Linked DNA regions of Kluyveromyces lactis. The protein of the gene in region 1 interacts with the protein of each later gene in a pairwise test. Links are inferred from orthologs where the notes say so. Each region holds a gene or a part of one and is shown in the gene's direction. Other genes may lie near its edges.

Region 1 (4,439 bases):
ATGTGTTTGCCACCAAAATTATTTAAAAGTTGAAATTAGAGTTAAAATTGAAATGAAATATTAAGGAAGGGGAAGACAACTGAGATAATGCAATCAATAAGAAAAAAAACAGCAACATCAAAAAACACAAGCAAAGCATCCGTGTTACGGTTTTGCGCTACCAAGTCTCAGAATGAGTCCCAGTCTTCTAGATCTAGAGACGCAACTAGCGTTCTACAAAGCTTATCATAACAATACTGGGAATGTGTTAATTCATAGCATTTTTGTCCCAACGATTCTCTTTACATCCATGCGTATATTGAACGACGTTAAGATCTGGAATGGCTATACCTTGACTCATTTGTTAGCGTTGTCATTTGGGTTGTTCTATATACTGTTACGAGTAGGTACCGGAATCCTTGCGTCGTTGATATTGGCACTGACGTGCAAATTTTTGAACGACGGGACTATTAAGATGACACAGACCACTGCCTGGATATTATTTGTGATCAGTTGGATCTTCCAGTTCATTGGCCACGGTGTTTTCGAGAAGCGCAAACCTGCGCTTCTCGATAACTTGGTGCAAAGTCTTGTGCTAGCGCCATACTTCATCCTTTACGAATTACTATTTATTTTAGGGTTCATGCCTGAACTTAAGAAGAATCTACAAGCTCGTGTTGACAAAGAGCTAGATCGTATGAGAGCGAGTAAATAAACTTAACCTCCGTTCGCCTAAACAGTATATATGCTCTATTTATGACTTCTATGATGATGACAATAACGATACTTGAACCCATGATGGAATTGAAACATCAATCACGTGATATAGAAATGATCTCTTTTTTTTCTTCTTTCTATCAGATCTCTGCGATTCGCAGTCACATGACTAGAACTGGGCAAGAACCCCTTTTTATTTCCAGATCCGGGATCACCGTATCATCATGTACGAAACACAACCCCGGGTAACCAAAGGATCACAGAAAAACAATTCGAAAACTGCAGGTTCTTGTACCACACTGCCAGGAACCGGTGCTGCGTGCTGTCGGTATTTTCATTTGTTCTTTTTCTGAGTGAAAATGAGAGAATCAGAAAATGAGAAAAGATTAGGCCCAAAATAATTGAATAAGTCTATCAATATACTTAGAACATATATAAATATATATATGTCTATACATATATAAGTAATTCGTATAAACAAGTTTTAGCTTGAATTGGGTTAGAAAGGCCAGACAAACTCTTGAGGTTTAGATAGAGTGCGCGAGTTGCATTGCAATTGTGCAAAAGAGAAAAAAAAAAACCAATCAAAACGGAGAAATAAAAGGAAATAGCATAATACCGAAAAGAGACGACAAAAAGGAAGTGTCTCGTATTCCTGCATTCTTTTAGTTTTTGATTTCAATTTAGTTTGGATAATTAAATTTGATTGGCGATTTGTATAGGGATCCTCTTGGCCTTGTATACAATCTGGAAGCTTATAGGTCCTTTTACTTGGCTCCTGACGCATTTAAATACCTACAATGACGGTGTTTTTGGGTGTTTACCAGGCGCTTTACGATTATTCTGCGCAAACAGATGAGGAACTAACTGTCAAAGAGGGTGATCTATTGTATCTTTTAGAAAAATCTAGCATTGATGATTGGTGGACCGTTAAGAAGAGAGTTATCGGATCTGATCAGGATGAACCCGTAGGTTTGGTCCCCAAGACATATATTGAAGAGGCTCCAGTGATTGGGAGTGTAGTTGCGCTTTACGATTATGAACAAGTTCAGAATGCCAATGAGGAATTGGTATTCCATGAAAACGATACGTTCCAATTGTATGACGATAGGGATGCAGATTGGTTCTTGGTGAAGAATACCAAGAATTCAGAGGTTGGGTTTGTGCCAGGTAATTACGTGGAAAAACAATCGCAGCAAGCTGGAGGTCCCGCTGCAGGAGTTACACAGTCTAAGCACCAAGCCCCAGCTGTTCTACCCCTTTCTGAACTTCCAGCTCCACCTCAGAGGTTGGACAGAGTCAATTCTCAACCATCATTCAGAAGCGGATCTACCCCTGCTGGCGCTGCAAGTACAGCAGATGCTCCAGGAGCTCCATCTACATCGACACCACCACCAGCATCAAATGCAGGCGTTGCGTCTCATACAACTATGCCAGTTGATGTTTCACTGCTCCCTCCACCTCCAAAGAGAAACGATACGGCAACCACAGAAGTCCAGCGTGAGTCAGCAGTAGCAGAACCTCCAGCAATGCCTCAAAGACCTTCTAATACTGAACACCAAACAAGTTATCGTGATGACCCAAGAGACAATAATAGAACTTCCCAAATAACTAGAGATTATTCAGATGATGAGCGTGATTACGATTTCGATGACGATGAGGAAGATCAACCTCCACTGCCATCTAGAAATGGAAGACCTTCAGCCTCGACCGCTGAACATGTTTGGTCTGTTAGTGAGGTTGATGGTCGTAAGAAATGTAAAGCTACGTTGACTGTTTCTGCTGAACGTATTCATTTCTTCTCTGCAAAGACAAAAGTGGATCAAGAATGGGCAGTTAAAGATTTGATCAACTATAACAATGAAAAAAAGCATCTATTTCTTGAATTTAAAAACCCTTACATTAACTTGGAATTGCATACTGGCTCTAACGATCTGGCTAACGAGATCATGGGCGTCTTGGGTGAGATTAAAGGTGCCCAGACAGCAGTTGGGTTACGTGAAGTTGAAGCTGCTTCAAGGCCTGCCATGACCAAGAAAAGAGCTAAAGCTGTATATGACTTTTTCGCTAACTCTCCTGATGAACTCACCGTTAAAGAAGGCGACTACATTAATATCTTAGATGACAGGACTTCGAAAGACTGGTATATGTGTGAATCTGTAGAAACAGGTAAAAGAGGCATTGTCCCCGCACAATTTGTCGAAACACGCGGATCAGGCTCATCAAGGCCTTCTGATGAAAGCCCTTCTAGGAGTAAGTCTAAGACCAGATCCAGATCTAACACTTCTAACTTTACTCAAAATTTAGTTGGCAGCTGGAAAGAGGATGCTGATCAAGATGTATCGAAGAAAAAGTCTAAAACTTCGAGCTTTTTCTCCAAGAAGAAGAAAACTGATGATAAAGAGTTCCCTGATCCTAAAAAGGTTAGAATTTGGGTAGACAGAAGTGGTACTTTCAAAGTTGAAGCACAGTTTTTGGGCTGTGTCGATGGGAAGGTTAACTTACATAAGGTGAACGGTGTGAAAATTGCTGTTGCTGCAGACAAATTGTCCGAAGATGATATTTTGTATGTGGAAAGATTGACGGGTATGTCTATGGAGAAATTCAAACATAAACCCAAGAGTTCAAATAATGACAGTAGTGCAGTAAACGCAGAACGTGAAAGAAGAAGAAAGGCTAAGGAGCGTGAACGGGAACTTGAAGAAAGAGAACGTGATAGACAATTAAGAGAGCAAGAACTTAAAGAGTTAAAGAGGGCTAGAGATCTCTTGGAAAGCGAAAGAGAAAAGCTGAGGAGTGCACAAGACAAAGAACTGCCACCTGTGAAACCACCAAGACCAGGCAGTGAAGCAAGCAAAACGCACCCTGTCACAAAGAGCTCCAAGAATCCCGAATACGATTGGTTCGAATTTTTCTTGAATGCTGGTGTTGATGTCAACAATTGTCAACGCTACACCATTAATTTCGAAAGAGAGCAAATTAGTGAAGAAATCTTGCCAGATATCGAGCCTTCTTTATTAAGAAACTTAGGTCTACGTGAAGGTGACATTTTAAGAGTAATGAAGTATCTAGATAACAAGTTTGGCAGAACAAAGGAGGCTTCTCCATCAACTGGATTGTTTACTGAAGCCGATGGATCCTTGAAGGTTAACCATACAGGTGCTCCCGCATCTGCAGGCGTATCTCATAATCTATTACCAGATAGTAATTCATCGAATAGAGATGATGATGCATGGACTGTTAGACCTGCTGCTAAAGCCAGCGACAGCTCCAACAAGGCTCAGGATTTCTCTGGGTCACTTCAAGATTTGCTTGATTTGCAACCTTTAGAGCCGAAGAAGAAAGAAACACCAGCTCCAGATGTCAAGCATCTAGAATCTGTCACCACTAACGGTTCGAATAAAAAGGAAGAAACCCCTCTGTCAGCAAATAAGACGGGTACTTCTTTGGTTCCATTAGATCCATTCAAAACTGGTGGTAATAATCTAATCCCTATTACTACAGGGGGATTCATTATGATGCCAGTAGCAACAGGCGGTTTAATGCCATTCCAACCGACTGGGGGGCTAGTACCTCTGCAAAGGACTGGAGGTATGATTGCACCTCAAACAACGTTTGGTATGCAACCAACAGGTACTGTCTTGCCAGTTCAAAAGACTGCGAACGGTTTGATACCAGCGAACACTGGAGGGTTGATGCCACAAACGACGTTTGGTGTACAACCCCAAACAGCATTCCCCGCT
Region 2 (3,005 bases), about 550 kb from region 1:
CTAAGACATCGGATTTCCGTGAAGTTTCAGCGGAAGAACAGCAACAACTGCAAGACGAGATGAATCTCATCAAAAGGTACCAAGATATGAAGGAAGCTGCAAAAGCAGAGCAAAGTAGAAAGGAAGAAGCAGAATTGAAAGAAAAGGAAAGGGAAAAGGCAAAACAACAGGATGCTGAGAACGGTGCTGCAACATCTTCACTTACCGCACCATCCATGTCGTCCATATCCAACAATTCTCCATCTCCATCGCAAGTCATGGATGGCTTTTATAAGATCGAGAAGTACATTAAGGATGCTGAGTACACCAGAGCCATTCCCTTGATATACGATTCTAACACTCAGAGTGATTTTAGAAAATTGATAAAAGCTCCAGGCAACATCTCTGGATTTAGAAACAAATTGAAGATATTGTTCGAGGACTATTACCACCGAGTCACTAGTAATCCACCTGATCACTACAGATCTGTCTTTGAAAATTTTATTCAAAGATGCAAATCTGCTCCTTTGCCTCAAACCAAGACACCTGGAAGTATGTATGAAGATGAAGTAGTACCTGTTAAACCTTCATCGAAGTACAGTGGTGAAAGATGGAACTCCAACACTTCCAGTAACCGTCCAATACCTAGTGAACCAAGAAAGGCAGCTTCTTCTCGTTATCAACATGGTATAGCCTCAACAACTCTGCCAAGAGCACCAGCCAACGCGTCTAAGCCTCCGGATACTTCCTCAAGACCATCTGGTCCTGCAAGCTCAGGTTCATCTAGCAGATTCCAAAACACATTACCATCTGGCCCAAGAAAAGATTCGTCTAGCAACAGAAGTATCAGCAATTCAAACACATCACAGCTTCCTAGCAGACCATTCAATCAAGGGAAGAAATTCGTTAATACTCCCTCCGAACCACGAAAGAGGCAATCTGATGAATCTTACCAAAGTTCAAGCAGATTCTCAAACGTTAAAAAGCCTAAGTTGAACGATCGTTCTACAAATAACCAATCGCCATTACCATCTGGTCCAAAAAGACAATCTGGAGGATCGAGATATTCGAGGTGAATAAAAATACTTAACTCGACACTTAGTTAAATAGCATAGCATAATATATGCTACCAATTATCTTCGATTTTGTACGGTCTTTCCCTGAGACTCTGATGCTTCTTACCACGTAAAACTGTCAATATGAAAAATGTTGAAAAACATAGACCTATGTAAATATAAGATTGAATCAAGCTAAACTACATATTTACAGTTTGAATAGAGCTTCTTTATGGGTCAATAAGCACTGTTAACACCTTTCAATCGATATAGGCATTAAGTGTAATGAGCAATAACGTGATAACCGGAGCAAATGGTCGATTAGATGTTTATGTGAGTAAAGCGAAGGACCTTCCAAATCTAAGAAAGTTAGACAAGCAAGATCCTTTCGTCAAGTTAAGAGTAGCTCATCTTACGGAGATATCTCCAGTGATATACAGAGGCGGCCAAACTCCAAAATTTGATTACCATTGTGTTTTTCAACTAACGCCCGATATCAAGCCTCTACTCTGCGTTGAACTGTACGATGACCATGATCACAAACATGGTTCGAAGCTCATTGGGAAGTGCGATGTTGATCTTTTGCCTGCATTACTAAGTGACCCTGAAGAAGGCCATGATAGGTGGTATCATCTGAAGAGGGGTCCTTTGGAAGCTGGTAAGGTGTATATTGAATTGACTTTTGTTCCAAATAACATTAGCGAAGACAGACGCGACAATGTTCCAAAAATAAGTTCCAGTGTACAGTCCAGGTCAGTACCACCACTACCGTCAGATCCACCGGAGTTACATGCACAATATGAACTGCAGACATCGGCAAGTGAGCAGCGGTTCGTTGCTTCCGCATCCCCAGGCCAATACGTTCACGGCTCTCATATAAAATCTCCACTTCCTGATCTACCTATAAACCTCGATACTTCTAGATCATCACACGCTTCAAGTGAAAGAATAGATTTTGATTCATCGATGGGGTCTAATGCTACAGCAAATACCTATCATTCGCAACAAAGCCAATCTACTGATGGGCTGATGGACAAGTTAAAGCTGATCAAAGAAAAATTGAATTATTTCAAGAACGGCTCCTCGGTACCATCTACAGAGAGTATCACCAACACTGCGATGGATTTGGAAGTCTTACAGAAAGTGGTAGGTGGCGGTCTCGAGAGTAGCTCAAGCTCAAGAATACCAACGAACATTGACGAGCCATCGCCTATGAATCACCTTCCTACAAAATCGTTTGTTGAACCGCCATTACCACCTCTTCCGACTACGCCTTCAAGACTATCCAGCCAATCTTCAGTGAGACATTCAGCCGGACAAAAATATCCGTTAAAATCTCCTGTGAGACAACCTACTACTCCAAGGCTACCGAACTTGCCAAATTCTTTTTCTTCGCCTTCTTCAAGATCAGGCTCGGTTTCTCCAACAAGGAGGAGACCACCACCATTATAAATGACTTATTAGAACTACATAATCATTGATAGGATAGACAGTTAAAAGTTTTTCTATCACTACTCATATTAGATGTTCCTCTTATCTTCTCGAAGCCTTGGAATCTAAAATGGTTTCAATCGTTGCACCTTGAATTCTGTCAATGCTAAGCCTTTTTGCATGATTATTCAACCAAAGGGTCCTAAGATGAGAAAAGAATATATAAAGAAAGAACTTTAAAGTAATCGCACAAGAATACTCGAAAGAAGACTCTGCTGTATTATGTTTGATACTATTCGAATTAGGAACCTCACTGCAGTGGATTAATGATACGACAAGATGGTAAATTGATAATTCTGCCCAGTAAAATAACTGTCGGAAAACAGCTTGAAGTTGGAACATACTTCATGTTAAAACTGGGTCAAAATGCAATACGATTCAATTCCATTAGGGGAAACTTAGAACTTAATGTTAGAGCTGCAGACTGGGATACTAATATGGAGTTCATTATATTTAGGCGAAGGCCACGATTGAAGAATG

What was found. The genes of interacting proteins can lie anywhere in the genome.
Region 2: the proteins of SLA1 (region 1) and INN1 interact in a two-hybrid assay, tested with the Saccharomyces cerevisiae proteins (2 studies listed by BioGRID, with this or other methods). The link is inferred for Kluyveromyces lactis from reciprocal best matches to the Saccharomyces cerevisiae genes SLA1 and INN1.

What each region holds. Positions count from the first base shown.
Region 1 is NC_006037.1:445,845-450,283, reverse strand, and holds the start of SLA1 (cytoskeletal protein-binding protein SLA1), read left to right. Parts: upstream 1-1,496; coding exon 1,497-4,439. Other genes in the region: 2-hydroxy-palmitic acid dioxygenase MPO1, read left to right, coding at 173-694. UniProt on the Saccharomyces cerevisiae protein: Component of the PAN1 actin cytoskeleton-regulatory complex required for the internalization of endosomes during actin-coupled endocytosis. The complex links the site of endocytosis to the cell membrane-associated actin cytoskeleton.
Region 2 is NC_006037.1:996,938-999,942, reverse strand, and holds INN1 (Inn1p), read left to right. Parts: upstream 1-1,319; coding exon 1,320-2,486; downstream 2,487-3,005. Other genes in the region: THO2 (Tho2p), read left to right, coding at 1-1,055; KLLA0_A11550g (uncharacterized protein), read left to right, coding at 2,792-3,005. UniProt on the Saccharomyces cerevisiae protein: Required for the ingression of the plasma membrane into the bud neck at the end of cytokinesis, leading to the separation of the mother and daughter cells. Stimulates the synthesis of the primary septum (PS) by CHS2.